4 linked regions of the Arabidopsis thaliana genome follow. The protein of the gene in region 1 interacts with the protein of each later gene in a pairwise test. Each region holds a gene or a part of one and is shown in the gene's direction. Other genes may lie near its edges.

Region 1 (5,732 bases):
TCATTTCTCATAGCCAGATTGAGAAATCTGCATGTATCAAGCTTCTAATCTTTACTGTATGGAACAGTTTCTTTGCAAATGTACTGTCCGGATCTGCCCTTTATCGTGTTAATGTGTTCCTTGAACCTAAGACTATTCCTCGTGTGCTTGCTGCAGCTGTGCCAGCACAGGTAAAGAACACAAAATTCAGTATTGAGGTTTCCGGAATTCCCTTTTCGTACCACGAGTCATGTTTATTGTTTAATCTTTGGTGTAGGCATCGTTCTTTGTATCTTATGTTGTGACCTCTGGATGGACTGGTTTATCATCAGAGATCCTCCGTTTGGTTCCTCTTCTTTGGAGTTTCATAACGAAACTTTTCGGCAAGGAAGATGACAAAGAATTTGAGGTTCCTTCAACTCCTTTCTGCCAAGAAATCCCAAGGATTCTATTTTTTGGACTCCTCGGTATAACTTACTTCTTCCTTTCGCCATTGATACTGCCTTTCTTGTTGGTCTACTATTGTCTTGGATATATCATCTACCGCAACCAGGTAACGGAACCAATCTCACTCCTAAGTATAATTCTCTGTTGATCTCTGATAAAATCATATAGGAATCAGCTACACATATTTTCGTTATATGGAATCTCACTTTTATCTTCTCTTTATATGTGATCCCTTTTCTAAATTCTCGAATAGCATCTTTAAACCGAAAGTATTTTTTGGAGCTTCAGTCATGACATAAACGTTACATCAAGAATCCATTTTCTCGTCACATAATTCTTTTTCTTCTTAATGAATCCATTGCAACTTGTTGATAGAAATAACATCACCTTTTTGTGCTGCAGCTCCTAAACGTATATGCGGCCAAGTATGAAACTGGTGGAAAGTTTTGGCCAATAGTTCACAGCTATACTATCTTCTCTTTGGTACTAATGCACATTATTGCAGTCGGATTATTCGGGCTTAAAGAGCTTCCAGTGGCATCTTCTTTAACAATTCCCCTTCCGGTTCTCACGGTCCTTTTCAGCATTTACTGCCAAAGACGGTTTTTACCAAATTTCAAATCTTATCCTACCCAGGTAAAGGCTTTAGAGAAATAGTTACTCATATTTTTGATCCAATGGAAGAAAAATATGGCTAGATAATCTTTTATTCCTAACCTAAACAAAACAAACAGAACATGATGCATAGTCCTTTATTACATTACAGCATCTACTCTAAACCTTTATATGGTGATGATGGATGTTTTACTTTTGCAGTGTCTGGTAAACAAAGATAAAGCAGACGAGAGAGAGCAAAACATGTCTGAATTCTATTCGGAACTCGTTGTTGCTTACCGAGATCCTGCACTTTCGGCATCACAGGACTCGAGAGATATCTCACCTTGAGATCACCTTTTTACTTGAGCTATTGAAGTTTGCTTATGTTGAAGCTGTTGGTTTACTATACCTGGTGCAATCCATGAAAGAACACACTAAACCGGTTGTCTTGTACATTGGGTCTTAACCGAGAATCAAGCGGTTTTTGTCTTGTACATTTGCTTACACTTGGCTTGTGTAAAAAAGAAAAAAAGTTTATGTCAATGTATCTCTCTAAACCGGTTTAAGACGGTACAAACTTTTTGAAAGATGCCAAAACAAAACGGTGGTTAATAATTTTACCACAGAGAATATTTAGCAAAAAGATGATGACTAGATGCCACGTCCGCATGGGGGTATATATTGTAATTAGTCGTAACTCTGGGGGTAATTTAGTTAAAGATTGATCCGTTTATGGAACCAAAAATCAAATAATTTCGTCTTTGATACTTGCTTGCGCCTTATAGGCTACAGGAGCGAGAGCAATGAAAGCGAGAGGAAGAATCTATCAATAATTTCTGGGTTTAAGCTGATCTCTGGATCTTCCTCAATTTTACTTTTTCAGCTCAGAAAATTTTGGGACTTTTTTTTGCTGCATTTTTTGGTTCCGAATTTTCTCCTCCGCCTTTTTTAATTTTTGGTAAGTTTCGATATCTCTCAATTTTCTTATTTCGGAAATAAAAAAAATTCTCGCCCTTTTGCAAATCAATGGATTGATCTTGAAATCGTCATTTCTGAATCGGGTACGAGAGATCCAGTAATCCTCTGCGATTGAATTATTATTAGGGTTCATATTCCGAATTGGGGATAGTCTGAAAATTGCTATTTTAAGCTCTCTTCTTAGTGTTGGTTGGTTTATTCTGGATAATAAAAGGGATCCTAATTCTCGCTAAATTCTCATGTTCAAACGAGTAGATGAGTTTAATTTAGTTTCTTCAACGATCGATCACAGAATCTTCAAAAGTGTAAAAATTACTTGCTTTTTGTTCCTATTACTCTTTTGCAGTTTGTTTTGTGTGTTGTGTACTAGTAGATCTAATATCTCTCTCTCTTTTTTTGTAGAGAATGGATGGATCAGGCACAGGCAGTAGAAGTGGGGTAGAATCGATTCTACCAAATTACAAGCTTGGGAGAACTCTTGGTATTGGTTCCTTTGGTAGGGTGAAGATAGCTGAGCATGCATTGACAGGACATAAGGTTGCTATCAAGATCCTCAATCGTCGCAAAATCAAGAACATGGAGATGGAGGAGAAAGGTACAAGTTTTGTTTTGTGTATCCATTCCACCTTAGTTGTGACTTCACGGTACTCTTGGAATATATAAATATATAGCTTCTTTTTCGTCTTCCTTCCTTTGAACTTATTTGGTCTTTGATGCAGTGAGGAGAGAGATCAAAATCTTGAGACTATTTATGCATCCTCACATCATCCGTCTCTATGAGGTTATAGAGACTCCCACAGATATTTATCTTGTCATGGAGTATGTGAACTCTGGTGAGCTATTTGACTATATTGTTGAGAAGGGTAGATTGCAGGAGGATGAGGCGAGGAACTTTTTTCAGCAGGTATGTTTTTATTTTATTTTATCAACATGTAACTTTCCAAGCAACCATTCGATTTTATATTATATTTGAGAGTTAAGAATTAGCTACTTGGCTTTGATGTAGATAATATCAGGAGTGGAATACTGCCATCGAAACATGGTGGTTCACAGAGACCTCAAGCCTGAAAACTTGCTTTTGGACTCTAAATGCAATGTAAAGATTGCTGATTTTGGCCTGAGCAACATAATGCGAGATGGTCATTTTTTGAAGACAAGTTGTGGAAGTCCAAATTATGCCGCTCCAGAGGTAAGTGCTTCAGCCCTCAGGTATCTGAGGAATACTATAATTAGGCTTGTTTCAAATGATAGGTTATAGTCGAGATCTATAAATTGTTTCAGGTAATTTCGGGCAAGTTATATGCTGGCCCTGAAGTAGATGTCTGGAGCTGTGGTGTGATACTCTACGCTCTTCTCTGTGGGACGCTTCCATTTGATGATGAAAACATTCCCAACCTTTTTAAGAAGATAAAGGTACATTCTATTACTCCTCCTCTTTCGTCTATTTGAACTAATGCTTGAATTTTTTATTTTATTTTTCGTATCACCCTTCGACTGTAACCTTTTTTTTTTCTCTTTTCGTCCTATAGGGAGGGATATACACATTACCTAGCCATTTATCTCCTGGTGCTAGAGATTTGATCCCCCGGATGCTTGTAGTTGACCCCATGAAACGAGTAACCATCCCTGAGATCCGGCAACACCCTTGGTTCCAAGCTCATCTTCCGAGGTATTTAGCTGTTCCTCCTCCAGATACTGTGCAACAGGCAAAAAAGGTAAGCCTAACGTATCTACTCTTATTTTCATTAGAGAAATCTCTATTCCCATTTTTCGATAAAGGCGTAAAAGCGCTGTCTTCATTTGTAGATTGACGAGGAGATTCTCCAAGAAGTTATCAATATGGGATTTGACAGAAACCACCTCATCGAATCGCTCCGCAACCGAACCCAGAATGATGTATGTGTTTCCCACCCACTTGTTCTTTTGCTGTTTCTTTCATTTCAAAGATTAAAAAAAATTCCATCAAAAGATCTTAAATACTGTATTCTTACCGACTGTCTTCCAGGGCACTGTGACGTACTATCTGATACTGGACAATCGTTTCCGTGCCTCTAGTGGTTATCTCGGGGCTGAGTTTCAAGAGACCATGGTTAGTCTTTTTTGTCCTTTTCGACTTTAGCAAAAGATCTTTGACGTAATGCTTCATTGTTTGATTTAATCAGGAAGGTACTCCCCGTATGCATCCAGCAGAAAGCGTTGCTTCACCTGTTAGCCATCGGCTTCCAGGACTGATGGAATATCAAGGAGTTGGCTTGAGATCTCAATACCCTGTTGAGAGAAAATGGGCTCTTGGACTTCAGGTTTTGATATTTTCTGTATTTATGGTATAAAGACTTCAGCTTTTGATATATATGTGATTAATATTGTAACAATTTGATCGCACAGTCTCGGGCTCATCCCCGTGAAATAATGACGGAAGTCCTGAAAGCCCTGCAAGATTTGAATGTATGTTGGAAGAAGATAGGGCACTACAACATGAAGTGCAGATGGGTTCCTAACAGCAGCGCAGATGGTATGCTCAGTAACTCGATGCACGATAACAACTACTTTGGAGACGAGTCCAGCATAATAGAGAACGAAGCAGCTGTTAAGTCGCCCAATGTTGTCAAGTTTGAAATTCAGGTAAATCCTCTTCTCCACTTCATGATACATATCGGTTTCCCGTACGACATTGTTTCTGATGTGTGATTTCGAGTGAAAGAAAGCTTTGTGTATTAGTGTCCATGGCCATTTTTGTAACTGAATTAGAACTAGAGTGAATCTTCATGAATCTAACTATCAATCAATATTTTCTGGGCTTGATGACGTTTGTTATTGTTGATGGTGAAACAGTTGTATAAAACTCGGGACGACAAGTATCTACTGGATTTGCAGAGAGTACAAGGTCCTCAGTTCTTGTTCTTGGATCTGTGTGCTGCTTTTCTTGCTCAGCTCCGAGTCCTCTGAATACTAAACCGGACCTCTTCAAGAATAATCCCCACTTATTCCTTTTTTTTTTTTTTTCTTATTCGTCTAAGAAATTATTTAGAAAACGTAACCCTTTTTTTCTTCTTCTCTTTCTTTCTATTTCTATATGCGTGCTCTACTCAAATACCTCTTTTAACTTAAATGTAAGACTGAGCAAGAGTAAAAAAAAGACACTTTGTACATAACTTGTAGTGCATCATGCCACCAAGATTGATTTTTGTTTTTGTTTACTCCATATTTCTTATGATTAAAATCAATAAGTTAAGGGAAAGACATTTTGACAAAAATTGAAGGAAAGATGTTTAAATTAGTTTCATTGAAAACAAATTAGCAAATTCAGAAGTAGTTGTTTTTGTTTCGTGTATTATTTGATGGGTCAATATTACACTATATTTTTTGTGTAAACAAATTAGCAAATTCAAAAATAGTTGTTTTTTGTTTTTGTCATCCTACTAATATTAAGACATTGAAAAACGAACATTTAGGATGAGCTTGATGTGTTTATTTCGAACTAAGATCCAAAAACTATACAAACTCAAAAACAAGCCCAAAAAGAATTTCAAAAGTTTCCAACGTGTGGTTTTACCTACCAGTTAATCTTCTCCTGCAAAAAAAAAAAAAACACATCAAGTGTGAGATAAACTCTCACAAAAATACAAGGAAATTTGTAATAATAATAAAAAAAGACACAATTATCTTTTGGTAAACCTGAAATTGAATAATTTCACACTGACTTGGGCTTTTTTTTTTAAATGAAAAATTAA
Region 2 (4,402 bases), on another chromosome or scaffold:
TGTCCCAAGACCACTTATAGTTCCAACAAGAAGTCTGGCACCACTTTCATTTCCCGGAGGCGATTCAGTGCCATGATTAGATCCTTCATCTGAATTGAGGAAAACGTGTATAAGATCGTGATCACCCTCAATTTGTTTCTTTTCATGATACCCTTTTGGGGGAACCCTAATGGCTGTAGCAACAACTCTTCCAGATACATGCAGCTGAATATCTTTATACGCATCAGAAACATGGTTTTTACTTCTTGAAGATTGTATATGAGATATCTGAAGACCAATCCTTTCAGCAGACATCATGTCATTGTTGCCTTTCTCAACTGCTTGACCAAGGTCCGAATCCATAAACGACGACAAAGCCAATTTCTTTGAGCAAGCAGAAGAAAGCTCAAGGAAGTTATCAACCAAGGAAACCATACCAAAAAGATCCCGTCCTGATACCAAATGCAAAACCTCTCGTGTATCATACACAGACCTTTCCTCAGCTTCAAAACAATCAGGAAGAAGCTCAACAGATTCAACATCAGGCCCAAAGTAGGCCGCTCGTATAGCTGAATAAAAATCTTCTTCAAGTTCATCTAAGTAACCAGTACCATTTGCTACTCTCTTCTCCAATACTATATCATGTATTGCTTCTCTATACCACTTTAACCATTCAACTACTTCCATCTCTTGACTCAATGTCAATCCTGTTTTATACCTGTGAATCATATAACCTTGTCCCGAGTGCTTCTTCATTACCATTCTCCGAGATAGCAAATATCTATCATAGTGTGCTCTCTTTTCAGAATCTGATAGAATCTGTATCATCACCACAAATCATTCATCAGACACTTCTAAAGCTATAACTCTATCACAAAAGCTTGAAAAGCTTGAAATTTTCGATTTTGAAACTAATCATAAGAGTGAAGAGTGAAGCTTTCTTCATTGTACCTCATAAGCAGCGAGAATCTGAACGAATCGTCTCGAATTTGATGGATCTTTCTTGGATTCGATCAGATCAGGATGAGTCTCCTTGGCGAGTCTGCGAAATGATGCTTTGATCTCTGCGATTGAGCTGGTTTCGGAGACATTCAAGATATCGTAAGCGTTCTCCACCGGAAACTCGTTCCGATTGGACTCAGCCTCGCCGCTCAGCAACCGAGTTCTTCCTTGACTCGGGTTAAAGAGAATTCGCGACGGTTCGAAACCGTAATTCAGTTGAACCGGAACTAATCTACTAAAACGCCGGCGTATCAACCCGGCGAGAATCGTCATTTCACGACCAGTATGGTTTACTCAGGTGGGAACGGAGACCGGAAGTGGAAAGAGGATAACGGCACGCCGATGACACGTGGGTCTCTCGATTTCACGCCACGTCATCACGAGTTCAGACTTTATTGGTCAACAGTAAAAACGGTCTTAGGAAAGAGAGAACATGAAGCCATATTACACTAAATGGGCCTTGAATTTTAATGGGCCAGGATCCTCTCACAGATATTTTTGACTCTTAAAATGATGAGGAAGTGGATGTGAATACGTGGTCGTATACTCACCATGGCATTCCATGAATAATTAATGTCTTCTAACTTCTAAATGATCGAAAAGTACTGACAAGTTAAAGTCAAGCAGAAAAAAACAAATATTATGAGGTTTTTAGATGCTATATTCATTGCAAGTTGTATACATGCGAAATTTAACTAGTGTTGTTAAAATAATAATTATATCAGCTTTTGACTATTTGCTGCCACTCTTTGAATGATTGAAACTAATTTTCTTTCGCATTAATGCATTGTTGAAATTCATGCACAAAATTAAAAATAATTGGTTCATGTATTTGTAACCCAATGTAACAATTTTATTGTTGAACAGAAGTCAGTAACTCCACGTCATGTACTCCATTAAATGTTCCAAAATATTTTGGGCTTGATTCCAAAAAACAAATTATCACGAATAGCGATGTTTGACAATCCAACAAACATGGTTCCATTCACCTTTTTTTGCCACCTGTAAATCGCGATATTTTAAATAATTTATTTCCTCTTCCACAGATACGAATTTTTTTATAAAGAATAATACGTAACACTCTAAAACAACACAAATATCATAATTTCTCCACGAACTGACTAAGAGAGGTACCAAGAAGAAAACCAGAGAAGAATCTTCTTTAGAGAGATGGGTGTGGTAGAAGAAGCTCACAACGTGAAGGTGATTGGTTCAGGAGAAGCCACGATCGTGTTAGGTCACGGGTTCGGCACGGACCAGTCAGTATGGAAACACTTGGTTCCACATCTGGTCGACGATTACCGCGTCGTCCTCTACGACAACATGGGAGCCGGTACGACCAACCCTGACTATTTCGACTTCGATCGTTACTCAAATCTCGAAGGCTACTCTTTCGATTTGATTGCAATCTTGGAAGATCTCAAGATTGAGTCTTGTATCTTTGTTGGCCACTCTGTTTCTGCCATGATTGGTGTCTTGGCTTCTCTTAACCGTCCTGATCTCTTCTCCAAAATCGTCATGATCTCTGCTTCTCCGAGGTATAACTTTTTCACAAGTTGTACATAGAAATATGTTTTGCTTTTTATCTCATCCTGACATAGTTTAGACAAAAGGGCTTCTCTGTTCCTTCTCTTGTCTGATTTCATAAAAACTATTAAACATTACAATTTAAATAAAAAAAAATCATCTTAAGTCCTTAAATTTACACAATTATCTATTATTTCGAAATATTTATTTCTCATTCTGACATAATTTCGACAAAGTGCCTCTTTGTTTATCCTCTTGTCTGAATTATCCTATTTCTCAAAATCAGTGAAGCATTTCATTATATATTTCAATAAAAATCCGTAAATTATGAACAAAAAATCATGAAATACCCATTTGTTTATTTGTTTTTTTTTATTTGGTTTTACTGAGGTGTTACTTACACTTTTTTTAAAAAAAATTGTTGAAACGGTGCTCACACAGTATATTATATATTTTAATTTTCTTCTGACAAAAGAAACATATATAATCAAATTATATTGTTTTGGTACGTTTATAGATACGTAAACGATGTTGATTACCAAGGTGGATTCGAACAAGAAGACTTAAACCAACTATTCGAAGCCATCCGAAGCAACTACAAAGCGTGGTGCTTAGGTTTCGCTCCACTCGCCGTCGGTGGCGACATGGACTCCATCGCCGTTCAAGAATTCAGCAGAACACTCTTCAATATGCGTCCCGACATAGCTCTCTCCGTCGGCCAGACCATTTTCCAAAGTGACATGAGACAGATCTTACCTTTTGTCACTGTTCCGTGTCACATTCTCCAAAGTGTTAAGGACTTAGCTGTACCAGTCGTTGTCTCCGAGTATCTTCACGCCAATCTTGGCTGTGAATCCGTCGTCGAGGTTATTCCTTCTGATGGTCATCTTCCTCAGCTTAGCTCACCAGATTCTGTTATTCCTGTCATCCTCCGTCACATTCGTAATGACATTGCTATGTGATTGTAAGAGATTTAATTAGTTAATTATTAAACGATGTAAGAAAAGTTGAAAAAAAATATCTGATGTGATATGTCTGTCTAGTCTATTGAGAACATTATTTCGTTGTCGTTTGGTTCTGATTCGTTTATCTTGAGTATCTTGATCTTTGTTGTTCTTATCTTGTTTAACGAAAAGTCTCTGTCTTTTGTCCACAGCTTTGCTCAGAGCTCATTATTGCTTGATGTAATAGTGATGTTCGTAATTGATGGTCCATAGTGAATTATTGCAACTTTGCAAGAGTGCTTGTGCTATACTGTGTGAAGAGTAATTAACATGTGATACTAGGAATTAGCATTGAGTTTGCATTTATGGATGGGTAATCCAAACCATAAAACATACATATTGTGATGGTTTTGAAATTTGTTTGTTTGTGAACAAAAATTAGCCAAGTTTTAAACAAAGTAAAATGAAAATTTAGGGTTTTGAATTAGGATGGAGTTAAGTCATATTTTGTTAGGTTTGTTTGCTTATGAAATTATGGATTTGTTTGATGTTATTATAGGGATGCGGTGCAAAAGATATTGTTTTCTATATTATCATTTATCACTAATAACTTTCAAATTTTATTGACGCGCCTGCTCAGATTTTATTCGATTTGTTGTTTATGAAATTAGTTATAGATTGGTAAGTAAATAGCTTTAAAAAATTAGTGATACAAAACAAAATGGTAAATATTGTATTGCTTCTTACTAGTCAATACTATGATTAAACTTCCATTTTATAATTCACTTTATATAAAACTTCTATTTATTTTCTTAAAATTATTTTATTATTGAAATTTAAATATCATTTGGTACAATATTATTTCTTCATCACTAGTCAAATACTATGATTAGCCTACCCAAAAAAAAAGTCAAATACTATGATTAAACTTCCATTTTTTTAAAATTCAT
Region 3 (7,930 bases), on another chromosome or scaffold:
CCTGGCTTGAGAAGCTAACTCCACATTTGCCCGCTTCAGCTCCTCTTGTAGACTCTCATGCTTCAACGAAGCTTCAGAGATTGTTTTCTCACGTTTTTCTAACTCCTCCTTTGCCCGGTTAAGTTTATTTTTGTCAGAGAGAAGCTTCCTCTCAGCATCGTGCAGGTCCTCTTCCCTTTTCAACAAGGCCACTAGCGCAGCCTCAAGGTCAGACTCAAGCACGCCAAGGTTTGAATAGGGGAGATCATCATCGTCAGGATAAACCGAGTGTTGATTGGTTTGTCTCTCCAATCTGTGTGTCCGAGCAAATAATTTATCGAAAAGAACATTTGCAGACTCAGCTGAGCCATTGTCGTTGATGTTGGGTCTTGTATTGTGCAAGACTGATTGAACACTCAGTAAAAGATGTCTCTTTCTCCTTGTAATGCTCGGGAATGCGACAAGACTCTTCTGCTTATGGTTTACTACTCTTGTCAAACAATACTGCATAAGAAAAAATCATATGGCCGACATCAAAATCAAAATCAAAAGTTTGATTATTTTGGACAGACACTAATCAATATGGATGCAAGCAAACTTATTCAAATTAAAGGAACAGTATTGAAATTTGCAATCTTTTTAAGCCAGAACAAGGAACAATCAGAACAAGGCCAGCAAAAGTCAAAAATTCAAGTTTGATAAAGTTAAGAGTAAGTAAAGTGTTGTGAATCAGCAGCGATATATAAATGAAAATATAGGGGATAATATAGAGAAAGGTAAGGAAACAAACATCGCAGGGAGAGGGAGAGGAGAAGGAAGCAAGATTCAAGCGAATGGCCTGAGAGAAACCCATCCTGAGAGCATAATTATGCAATCGCCATGGAGCTTAAAGACGGAACAAAACCCAAATCCACTGGATCAAATTTAACAAGTGGGCGTTTTGGAGAAGAATGCTTACGAGAACAAATCCAAGGAAGAAGAAGAAGAATCTAGCTAGGGAATGGATATTGTTACAAAATTCTTTTACCAAAAAAAAGGATACAAAATAATAAATAGAGGCTCGCGTTGGCTTGCGAGTTGTGGTCGCCAGTAAACTCGAAAGTCCTTTTTGCCCTTATTCATAAGATGCATGTCGGCATTGTCCAAATACACGGCCAAGGGATCTATTTGTAAAAATAATGGACTCTTCTTAATTACGTACGTGGTAACGGTTTTCTAGTATGACAATTCTCTTTCTTTCGCGTAGTCGGCTAGTCGCGTGGTTAGAAATGCTTACACACTAAAGAGTATGTTATATTAAACTGGAATATAAATTTAAGAAACTGAATAAAAGTCATCAGGCCCATGACATTGGCCCAATAGACCCAATGAAAAACCAATCCATCAGCTAGTTTTCTTAACATATCAACCCAACGAGGTTGTATCTTGTTACATTTGCAAGTGAACTTTTTTATCATTAAAAAATGTAACAATGGTATTTTTGGTTTAGTGTTCCTAAAATATTTGTTTCCCACATAAGATTTTATCTACACCAAATAGTCCAATTGTATAATATAATCCATCTTCACAAAAGCATTTTAAAGGATATCCTACCTTCTAAATTCCGGCGAAAAATATCTTAAATCTGAAAAAGTGATTTATCGTGAATAGTGTAATGTTAGCAAAATCTTAAACTTCAAAAAATCGTAAAACATAAAGAATTAAGTGTGACGGATTAATTAAGATATCGAAACCAACACAGTAATCCTCATCTATGACTTGGAAAAACTCATAAGTGGCAAGTGGAGTTCGAGTTTGGTCATTATTGTGAAACACCAAACCTAATCCACTTACAAATTCATTAAAAACTACAAATTTGTGTGGTAGTTTTTTTTTTTTTTTGGGAAATTTATGTGGTAGTTAATTAGTTAACAAACAATTATATATAAATACAAATTTTGTTTGGAGTTAGGTCCGCTTCAGCCTGCTTAAGCGATTCTAAGCTTAGTCGTATAATCGTATTAGCAAAAGCTCGAACAGTTTACTTCTTTACCCTGGAAAGTCTTATCATCATCAGTTCGTGTCGTTTGACTTTTTAAACTTTGCAAGGAAGGGTTTTGTGGTGGTTTGGGAGAATTAGGCAATTGTTGGTGATCCGATTTTTCTGGGTTTGGTTGGGTTCCTTTTTTATTTTTTAATAAAAAAAAAAAATGGCGGGTCAAGAGGATGAGTATGATCCAATTCTTGACAATAAAAGAGAAGCTGAAGCAAAATCTCAGGTTTCTGTTGCTGCTGATAAAAATATGGCTCCTTCTACTTCTGGTACTCCGATCCACAGATCAGGCTCTAGACCTCAGCTTGATCTAAGCAAAGCCGAAATTCAGGGGAACCTCGAGGAGAGAGATCCCACCATTTTATTGCCTAATCAGTCTGATGATATCTCTCATTTGGCTCTTGATATCGGAGGTGACAACAAATTTCACTTCTTTTTTATTTTCACTGTAGTTGACCATTGATCTAGTGCTTGTGGTTCTTCCAGTAGTATTTGGTGTCACTTCTTGGTTTTGGCAATTTCGATGTTTATTTCTTAAGTGCTATGTTTGAGAATTATGAACCCTTTTAAGTTTATTTGCAGGTTCTTTGATAAAGTTGTTGTATTTTTCACGACATGAGGACTACTCTAATGATGATGATAAGCGGAAGAGGACGATCAAGGAGAGATTGGGTATTACCAATGGCAACTTGAGAAGTTATCCTGTTCTTGGTGGTAGACTTCATTTTGTCAAGTTTGAGACTCACAAAATTAATGAGTGCTTGGATTTTATTCATTCCAAGCAGCTTCATCGCCGAGGTATTATTACTTTTATCCTTTTCAGTGTATGAAATGTTGTTTTGTATTATAAGATCAATTTCTGGTGATTTACTCTTCAATTCGTCTTCTTCTCCATTTCTTTTCAACTAAATGAATAGATCCTTATCCTTGGAGTTCAAAGACCTTGCCTTTGGGGACTGGTGTTATCAAGGTAATCGCATTTTTATGACTTGATTGTTTTTATCTTTATCACCTTTTGAGGCTCCTTCTGCATATATTTAGCTCGCTCTTTCATTTGAGATACCAGATAACATTTAAGACCCTCATAATTATTGTTTTTAGGTGAAACGTTTTTTATATTTATAAGTCTTGTATATCCATGTAATGTGATTTGCTGATTCGGCTTTGATTAGTTGATTATTACTTGTTTTAAACATATGAGTCAAGCGTACGTGTATCTTTCAGGTCACAGGTGGCGGGGCATTTAAATTTGCAGACTTGTTCAAGGAACGGCTGGGCGTTAGTATTGAGAAAGAAGATGAAATGCATTGTCTTGTTTCTGGAGCAAATTTTTTGCTCAAGGTAAGACCTTTCTTTATGCAACATTCCATTTATGTTGTCTCTGCATACATATTTGTACCTTTTATTACTAGCACTTGCGAAATAGAAACGTAAAGACAGACTCTCATTATATGTGACCGGTTGATTTGTTTGTTGAAGTTCTGAGTCACATGAGAGAAAAACAGCTGGATATCTGTATGTGTGTTTTACTATACTTAAAGTTCTGCTAAGACTATTGAAATTTTGCAATTAGTCTACTTTTCTTTTGTCTATTTGCATGTGTATGTTTTGAATTTATTCTTAGTTTCTTGCATTTTCTGCAGGCTATTCGACATGAAGCCTTTACGCACATGGAGGGTGAGAAAGAATTTGTACAGATAGATCCCAATGACTTGTATCCTTATCTTCTTGTGAACGTTGGATCTGGTGTTAGCATAATCAAGGTATTTGTTTACGTTTGCTACTTTTTTCACAATCAGTGTGTGTTTGGCTCCTTGAACTTCTGAATTGGGAGGTCAGAAGATTGCATGGACCTGTAGATTTCATGCAATGGCTTTTCAAAGTATAGGTTGATGGTGAAGGAAAGTTTGAACGTGTGAGTGGAACTAATGTTGGCGGTGGTACCTATTGGGGCTTAGGAAGACTTCTAACGAAGTGCAAGAGGTTACAGAGCTCTGATTTTACATTATTTCTTTATATTTTTGTTTCCTATACCTTACACTGTTTTCTTTTGTTTCAGTTTTGATGAATTGCTAGAACTCAGCCAAAAGGGAGATAATAGTGCCATTGACATGCTCGTTGGTGATATTTATGGTGGCATGGATTACTCCAAGGTAGGAGTCAACTTTGCATCAAACTACATGTGATCTCATTTGTTATAGGATGTGACTACTCTCCTATTGAAACTCAGAATGCTTTATTACTACTGTTCTAGTAATTCTCATTAATCAATCATACAGATTGGTCTCTCTGCTTCAACAATAGCTTCTAGTTTTGGCAAGGCGATATCTGAAAATAAGGAACTGGACGATTACAGACCTGAAGATATTTCCTTGTCTCTGTTGCGGATGATTTCATACAATATTGGGCAGGTATGCATTGGCGAGTCCAAAGGATTCAACGAAGTTCTTAAGCAAGAATAAGCCTAAATGTTTCTCATTTTTATTCCTAAGCATGATTCCATTTGGAAGTTTTGATCAGTGAATGTGATAAGTTATTGAGAATATTATGAGTTTCTGATTTGTTTTGTTGCTGTGTAGATATCGTACTTGAATGCCCTTCGCTTTGGGTTGAAGCGAATATTTTTTGGAGGATTTTTCATAAGGGGTCATGCATATACCATGGATACAATTTCATTTGCTGTACATTTCTGGTAACTTCACTTGTAAACTTGACCTAGATGTGATATGCGTACTCACCTTCTTCACTCAAACTTATTTATTTATTGCTTGACTACACTAGGTCTAAGGGAGAGATGCAAGCTATGTTCTTGAGACATGAAGGTTTTCTGGGTGCTCTAGGTGCGTTCATGAGCTATGAGAAGCACGGATTGGATGATTTAATGTCCCATCAGTTGGTTGAGAGGTTCCCAATGGGTGCACCATATACTGGAGGAAATATTCACGGACCACCACTCGGTGATTTGGACGAGAAGGTACGAAATTTAGCTTACGCTTTACCAAAGTCTCAGTTTGTTCTATTTAATACTTTGAAACTGACAGCCAAAAAAATTCCGTAATGACATGGGACTTCTCAAAATATGAAAGTGCGGGAATATGATACCATTTATGCCTTGTGCTGGGTAAAGTGTATGCTGGTTACCATTATAGTATTCTTTAGGCAGTTGCATTGTAGAATATGCTTTTCTTGAAATTGGAATCTTTTGGCAAATGTTTGATCTTCCATGGACTTACTGAATATTATGGCCGAAGGAGATGGTCGGATACTTTGAGACTGTTGAAGTGCACTATGACTTGTTCCTTTCCATGGTTTGTGTGCTGACTGAATTTTTTTGGATACTCAATCATTAATCTTGATGATTAGTCATAGTTTATGCTTGTATGGATATTTTTCGCTGTGAAGTTTACTGGTTCTTTCCTTTTTATATACAAAGTATCATTTTGTGTGACAAACGAATAATAGAAAGCAAGAGTAAGAAAAACCTCGTTTTCAAATCTGTCACAGTTATATTCTCTTTTCTTTTATGTATATATCAAAAACGAGATGGAATCAAGTGCTTTTTTCCCACTTTCCTTGTGCTAATGGTAGAGAGATATCACATCAACTAGTTATAAGTGTTGTGTGTCTTGACTCTGTTCTAGATAAGTTTTGGAGTTTAAAAAGGCTTTCCTGGTTGCTTTCAGATTTCGTGGATGGAGAAGTTTGTGCGTAGAGGAACTGAAATAACTGCTCCTGTACCAATGACTCCATCAAAAACGACTGGGCTTGGAGGGTTTGAAGTTCCATCATCCAGAGGTAGTGCTTTAAGATCTGACGCCAGTGCTTTAAATGTTGGTGTTCTCCATCTTGTGCCCACATTGGAGGTGTTCCCATTACTAGCTGATCCGAAAACGTAAGTGGCATGTCCCTGAGTAATGTATTGAGCTTGTACATATATGTCCTGGTTTGCTGCTTGTTCATGATTTTGGAGATTTTATGTTCGTGTGTTTAATCGATTTGTTTTACCCCAGGTATGAGCCTAACACGATTGATCTATCAGATCAAGGCGAACGAGAGTGAGTTATAAGTCGATGCTGATCTTCCAAACACTGGTTTTATTTGATGAAGTCACTTTTTCTTATATTGTTTATTTTCTGGTGGGGTATAGGTACTGGCTCAAAGTTTTGTCCGAGCATTTGCCAGACCTCGTTGATACGGTAACTGTTAAAGTTAACACATAGGATTTCTTTTCCATCTTCAGTAATGTTACTTTTTGGGTGGTGAAGATTCTTTAAGGCCTGGTACGTACTATTATTCTATGGACATGATTATAGGCTGTAGCAAGTGAAGGAGGAACCGAGGATGCGAAAAGGCGGGGTGATGCTTTTGCTCGTGCTTTTTCTGCTCATTTGGCAAGGTTTGGTTCATCACAACAGATACCTCTCTGTCAAGTCAAGGCTGTGCAATTTTGACCACAATCTATCAAACAGAAAATTCATAGTACAGCGCTTCAAGAAAAGCTTGTTTTTTCTGTGCTTTGCCTTTCACTGACAATTTTTTTGGTTGTAGATTAATGGAGGAGCCAGCTGCATATGGAAAGCTGGGGCTGGCAAATCTCTTGGAACTTAGGGAAGAATGCTTAAGAGAATTCCAGTTTGTTGATGCCTATAGAAGCATCAAGCAAAGGTAAAAGATAGTCTTATCTCTCCCCTGCTTTGAGTTGCTCTTATGCTCTCTCTTTCTTCGAAATTGATAGGGAGAACGAGGCATCACTTGCTGTTTTACCTGATTTACTTGAGGAGCTTGATTCGATGAGCGAGGTCTGTGACCTTTAACCTTCCTCTCTTTGTAGGTTTATGGTTTGCTACTAAACGTTTCAGTGCTATACATGAGACAACTTTTCTTACTTGGTGTTTCAATTGTGCTCGGATTTTTCAGGAGGCAAGGTTGCTTACACTTATAGAAGGTGTTCTTGCTGCAAACATATTTGACTGGGGATCTCGAGCATGTGTGGATCTATATCACAAAGGAACCATTATTGAAATATACAGAATGAGTCGCAACAAGATGCAGAGACCGTGGAGGGTGAGAGACAAGACCACCCTTTTTCCCCGCTGAGGTTACTTTTTCCTAACTGTTAATTTGAAGCTGGAAATCTTTTTTGGTCCGTAAAATCAGGTAGACGATTTTGATGCTTTCAAAGAAAGGATGCTTGGATCTGGAGGTAAGCAGCCTCATCGACATAAAAGAGCATTACTTTTTGTTGATAACTCGGGAGCAGATGTCATTCTTGGGATGCTTCCTCTTGCTCGAGAGTTTCTCCGTCGAGGGACTGAAGTACGTGTCTCTCTCTAGCTCTTCCTATAGTAATCTTCTCTTCACAAAATCAAATGCACAGACCAAATGATTTCATTGTGAAATTAGTTGAGGAAACACTAAACAAAATGTTATTATGATTCCCCAGGTTGTTCTAGTGGCAAACTCTCTTCCTGCTCTTAACGACGTGACCGCTATGGAACTGCCTGATATAGTCGCTGGGGCTGCTAAGGTTTAACTTTCGATTCTGTGCAGTGTTTATGATGTTCTTTCATGTAACTAACTCTTTTGTTCGGTCTTTACTCTTGAAGCACTGTGACATCTTGAGGAGAGCGGCAGAAATGGGAGGCTTACTTGTGGATGCGATGGTAAATCCAGGGGATGGATCAAAGAAGGATTCAACGTCAGCACCATTGATGGTTGTTGAAAATGGATGTGGAAGTCCTTGTATCGACCTCAGACAAGTCAGCTCTGAGCTTGCAGCCGCTGCCAAAGACGCTGATCTTGTATCTACAAAACCTTCTCTGTTTTCTACCTGACATAAACTTCAAACACATCAAAAAAGAGAAGCTTTGTTCTTTATTTGATGTTTAACAATATTGCAGGTTGTCTTGGAAGGTATGG
Region 4 (3,365 bases), on another chromosome or scaffold:
GATTCTAAAGAAGTTATTATGAAACAGACTAACACTTCTTTTGGTTGTGTGCCAAAACAGTTGGTTCTAGCGAATCCAGGACCGCCGGTCATAAATAAGCTACATGTTTCTCACTTTGCGGACTTGATAGGACACGACAAAATCTTTCTGACGGTGGCTGAGGCCGTGGATTCTTGCTCCCCTAAACTGTCCGACGAGGTCTGATCCGGAGAAGAAGAATCTTGATGATGAAGCAAAATGATATAAAGTGTTGTATGTTGTATAGACTGAATTGAGTAGTCAGTGACTTTGCTCTGTTTATCTTTTATCTATCCCCAATCGTGTGACGTAGAGGTCAAGTGTAAAAGTTGACCTATATAGAGCTTTTTTTAGAGTCGTGATAAGCTTGGATTTACTGGATTAGTTTTCGTTATTGTTTTCAATAACTTTGAACTATAGAGATTATATAATAAGTTATAATATATAAACGAATAAAATCGGAACCCAAACATTAACATCTGATCAACGTAATGCAACGAGCGACTTTATTGCTACTATTATTGGTGGGGAAACCTTGACAAAACGTTTTGTGTTCAAGATTCGAACATTGAAAAAAAAAACAATGAAAACATTTCTCCGTAAATAATTATGTGTGGACCAGAAGTTGAAACCCACTTGTGTACACAATAAACTAGATTAAGACCTTTGTTTATTTAAAATAATAATGGCTTAGACGTCTAAGCGTTAGACGGTCGTTATCTAGATATCAATTTTCTTCATGTATTATTATCTAGTTGATAGACCTAGTTTGATGTTTTAGGTGCCTATTAGATACGTTTGGCAATCGATCTGTTTTTTTAAATATAAATTAACTATAAAATCATAAACCATTATATTTTAAACGAATTTGACTAAAACAATTTAACCACCGTGCAAATAGAATTATAAAACCGTCTGTAAAAAAAAAAAACTCACATCTCTTCTCGAAAACATTAATTGAGAAATAAAAATGGTACAAAACGTAAGATTTTGAGACCGACCATTTTGTACAATGTGCCAACTCTGTTGTACTGTAATCGAGTGTCCCCAAATGCACCAATCAAAACGAGTTAGCACTTAGCACTACTTGTTTTTTGTGCATATTTTTTATAACAAAAAACAAAAGATGCTAAGGACTATCAATCAATCAATGTTCCATCAAATGATAATAATAAAAAACTGTTTTGTTTTGTCATAAAATTTTGAAATGGTATTATAAATGGGAGGTCAAGTGATATTGAAATTTGGCTTGGGAAGTGGTGAAACGTTGGAGGCCCTTTTTACTATTGTAAAGAGACATATCGGTCACAGAAGTGGACAATGTAGCCCAGAAGTTAGGAGCTATAATACAACATTTTCACTTTATTTCTCATCCATTTTTAAAACTTTTCACTTTTTTTCCTCAAATTTTACTATTTTATATAAATGTCATCGATGGATAAACTAATGAGTGATTCAGCCAAATATTTTGAATAACTTTATTTTTTTATTTTTTTATTTTTTTTATTTTTTTATTTTTTTATTTTTTTTATTTTGAATAACTTGAGTTTAACTAAGATTTCAGATGATTTTAAGTGAATTTATGGAACAAAGATTTGCTAATTTATTAGTTTAATAGCCTTACATTTTAAGACATATCTATAAATAAAATAACTAATAACAAGTATTTAGCAAAAAAACAAACTAATAACAACAAGTTTTTTAAGAGTTTAAATTTGCTTGATTGTTATTCTAAATAATACAATTTCAATTGTATGATTGAATACACCTACACAAAATAATTGATTTAAGAAAAAGAAGAAGACAAAATAATTTGTGAAAGAAGAAGAAAAAAAAAGCAATAATAACGAATAAAATAAACACTTAAAGAATCGGAATCATGACGTGTCGTAATTAAAACGGGAATAGAATCGATCAGACAAACTCAACGGCTCAGATTAACTCCTCAGTTTATGGCTCTTCTTTTATCTTCTCTGTCTCCTCTTTTCTCACTTCCCTCTTTCTCTCTTTCACTTTGCTCTGTTCACTCAGAGCATCAAATAAACAAAAGAGAGAAACCAAAACCACACAAGACTAACGATGTTGCTAGGGAAGAGACAGAGACCACCAATAAAGAGAACCACGAGTCTATCTGAGATTAAGTTCGATTTGAATCAACCTAGCGAACAAGAACCATCCGATCATCAGATTCAGCTTGTGAACGTTGATGAACATCGTCAAGTTCATCAAAGATTGTTAGATCAACGGCTTTTAGCGATGGTCTCACCAAGAGGTACACAGAGAAGACACTCAAGTGATTATTCTGAAGATTTTCTAAGATCTTGCTCTCTTTGTAAACGTCTTCTTGTTCATGGCCGTGACATCTATATGTATAGGTATGAGTTTAGGACCTAAAGATTAATCTCATGGTTTTGGTTTGATTAGATATGTAATTAACGATTTGGTTTTGGTTGTTAAATTATGAGCAGAGGAGATAGAGCGTTTTGTAGTTTAGAGTGCAGGCAACAACAAATTACAGTGGACGAGAGGAAGGAGAAGAAGAAAGGTTCGGTGAGGTCCACCATCGTCGTCGCCACCGGAACCACCACAGGAGAGAGAGTTTCCGCCGCCGTGTAGGTCTCTTTTACATATGTTATATATTATCGGTAATGATTGTATTATATGGTTCTTGTTTTATGTATAAAAAGCATTGAGCACTATTGACTGTGATTAACCATGTTAATCATCCTTTAAACCTTGCTTTTGATCTTAAGAATTATTGTATTATGCATATTAATTAGATTTGTGTTCTACTGATTATTCTACTTCTAACTATCTGATTAATTACCATTAAAAGATAAAGATTTATTGTGTGGAGATTAGATATATCACACCATTTCAATTCTTTTTACAGTCAGTAATTGACAAATCAAGAAAATTCGAAATCGTATTTGTGAAAATTGTATACCAACTTAATATATTGATATACAAGTTTGTACCTTATGTACTGTGGATTTCATGTATATCAACCCACCAAAAATATATATTTACCGTACTGTTTTAACTTCATGCTTACTTTCGAATATAAGGAATTAAGGATGATCCAATAGAATTTCTTCATTTTCTGTTGTATTGAAACAAAAAAAAATGAATATTTGAATATGATTTTGGTCAAGTAAGGAATCTCATACCTATTCAGCCTAGCATTGACTGGTCCCTCATTGTAACATTTTAAGAGATTCTTACTTTTTTGCATGTCTCAGTTTTGATAGATTCCTAATGGCTAATGCTCTCCTTTTGCTTCATAAAAGAATTCTTGTTTTAAGCAAAATATTCTTTAGGAAAAACCAACCAATAAGTTCATAACT

The links.
Region 2: the proteins of KIN10 (region 1) and KAI2 interact in binary tests that used the Arabidopsis thaliana proteins (3 or more experiments, as listed by UniProt).
Region 3: the proteins of KIN10 (region 1) and PANK2 interact in binary tests that used the Arabidopsis thaliana proteins (3 or more experiments, as listed by UniProt).
Region 4: the proteins of KIN10 (region 1) and AT1G22160 interact in binary tests that used the Arabidopsis thaliana proteins (3 or more experiments, as listed by UniProt).

What each region holds. Positions count from the first base shown.
Region 1 is NC_003074.8:30,652-36,383, reverse strand, and holds KIN10 (SNF1 kinase homolog 10), read left to right. Parts: upstream 1-1,896; 5' UTR 1,897-2,240; coding exon 2,241-2,306; intron 2,307-2,403; coding exon 2,404-2,596; intron 2,597-2,720; coding exon 2,721-2,905; intron 2,906-3,007; coding exon 3,008-3,190; intron 3,191-3,282; coding exon 3,283-3,414; intron 3,415-3,530; coding exon 3,531-3,716; intron 3,717-3,807; coding exon 3,808-3,897; intron 3,898-4,006; coding exon 4,007-4,090; intron 4,091-4,163; coding exon 4,164-4,301; intron 4,302-4,386; coding exon 4,387-4,623; intron 4,624-4,833; coding exon 4,834-4,947; 3' UTR 4,948-5,203; downstream 5,204-5,732. Other genes in the region: HYP1 (hypothetical protein 1), read left to right, coding at 1-170, 257-532, 829-1,062, 1,243-1,371; AT3G01085 (Protein kinase superfamily protein), read right to left, coding at 5,562-5,572. UniProt on the Arabidopsis thaliana protein: Catalytic subunit of the probable trimeric SNF1-related protein kinase (SnRK) complex, a central regulator of cellular energy homeostasis, which, in response to seemingly unrelated darkness, sugar and stress conditions, activates energy-producing pathways and inhibits energy-consuming processes.
Region 2 is NC_003075.7:17,616,113-17,620,514, reverse strand, and holds KAI2 (alpha/beta-Hydrolases superfamily protein), read left to right. Parts: upstream 1-1,858; 5' UTR 1,859-2,151; coding exon 2,152-2,519; intron 2,520-3,025; coding exon 3,026-3,470; 3' UTR 3,471-3,856; downstream 3,857-4,402. Other genes in the region: AT4G37480 (Chaperone DnaJ-domain superfamily protein), read right to left, coding at 1-798, 931-1,254.
Region 3 is NC_003075.7:15,537,954-15,545,883, reverse strand, and holds the start of PANK2 (pantothenate kinase 2), read left to right. Parts: upstream 1-1,929; 5' UTR 1,930-2,168; coding exon 2,169-2,424; intron 2,425-2,593; coding exon 2,594-2,809; intron 2,810-2,928; coding exon 2,929-2,981; intron 2,982-3,235; coding exon 3,236-3,352; intron 3,353-3,654; coding exon 3,655-3,774; intron 3,775-3,899; coding exon 3,900-3,994; intron 3,995-4,070; coding exon 4,071-4,164; intron 4,165-4,290; coding exon 4,291-4,422; intron 4,423-4,590; coding exon 4,591-4,703; intron 4,704-4,792; coding exon 4,793-4,985; intron 4,986-5,694; coding exon 5,695-5,903; intron 5,904-6,021; coding exon 6,022-6,066; intron 6,067-6,158; coding exon 6,159-6,207; intron 6,208-6,324; coding exon 6,325-6,407; intron 6,408-6,559; coding exon 6,560-6,676; intron 6,677-6,746; coding exon 6,747-6,810; intron 6,811-6,928; coding exon 6,929-7,075; intron 7,076-7,168; coding exon 7,169-7,327; intron 7,328-7,454; coding exon 7,455-7,538; coding exon of another isoform or gene 7,539-7,544; and 4 more. Other genes in the region: AT4G32190 (Myosin heavy chain-related protein), read right to left, coding at 1-483, 770-832. UniProt on the Arabidopsis thaliana protein: Catalyzes the phosphorylation of pantothenate the first step in CoA biosynthesis. May play a role in the physiological regulation of the intracellular CoA concentration. Functionally redudant with PANK1.
Region 4 is NC_003070.9:7,821,141-7,824,505, forward strand, and holds AT1G22160 (senescence-associated family protein (DUF581)), read left to right. Parts: upstream 1-1,925; 5' UTR 1,926-2,097; coding exon 2,098-2,393; intron 2,394-2,486; coding exon 2,487-2,634; 3' UTR 2,635-2,831; downstream 2,832-3,365. Other genes in the region: SULTR1;3 (sulfate transporter 1;3), read left to right, coding at 61-204.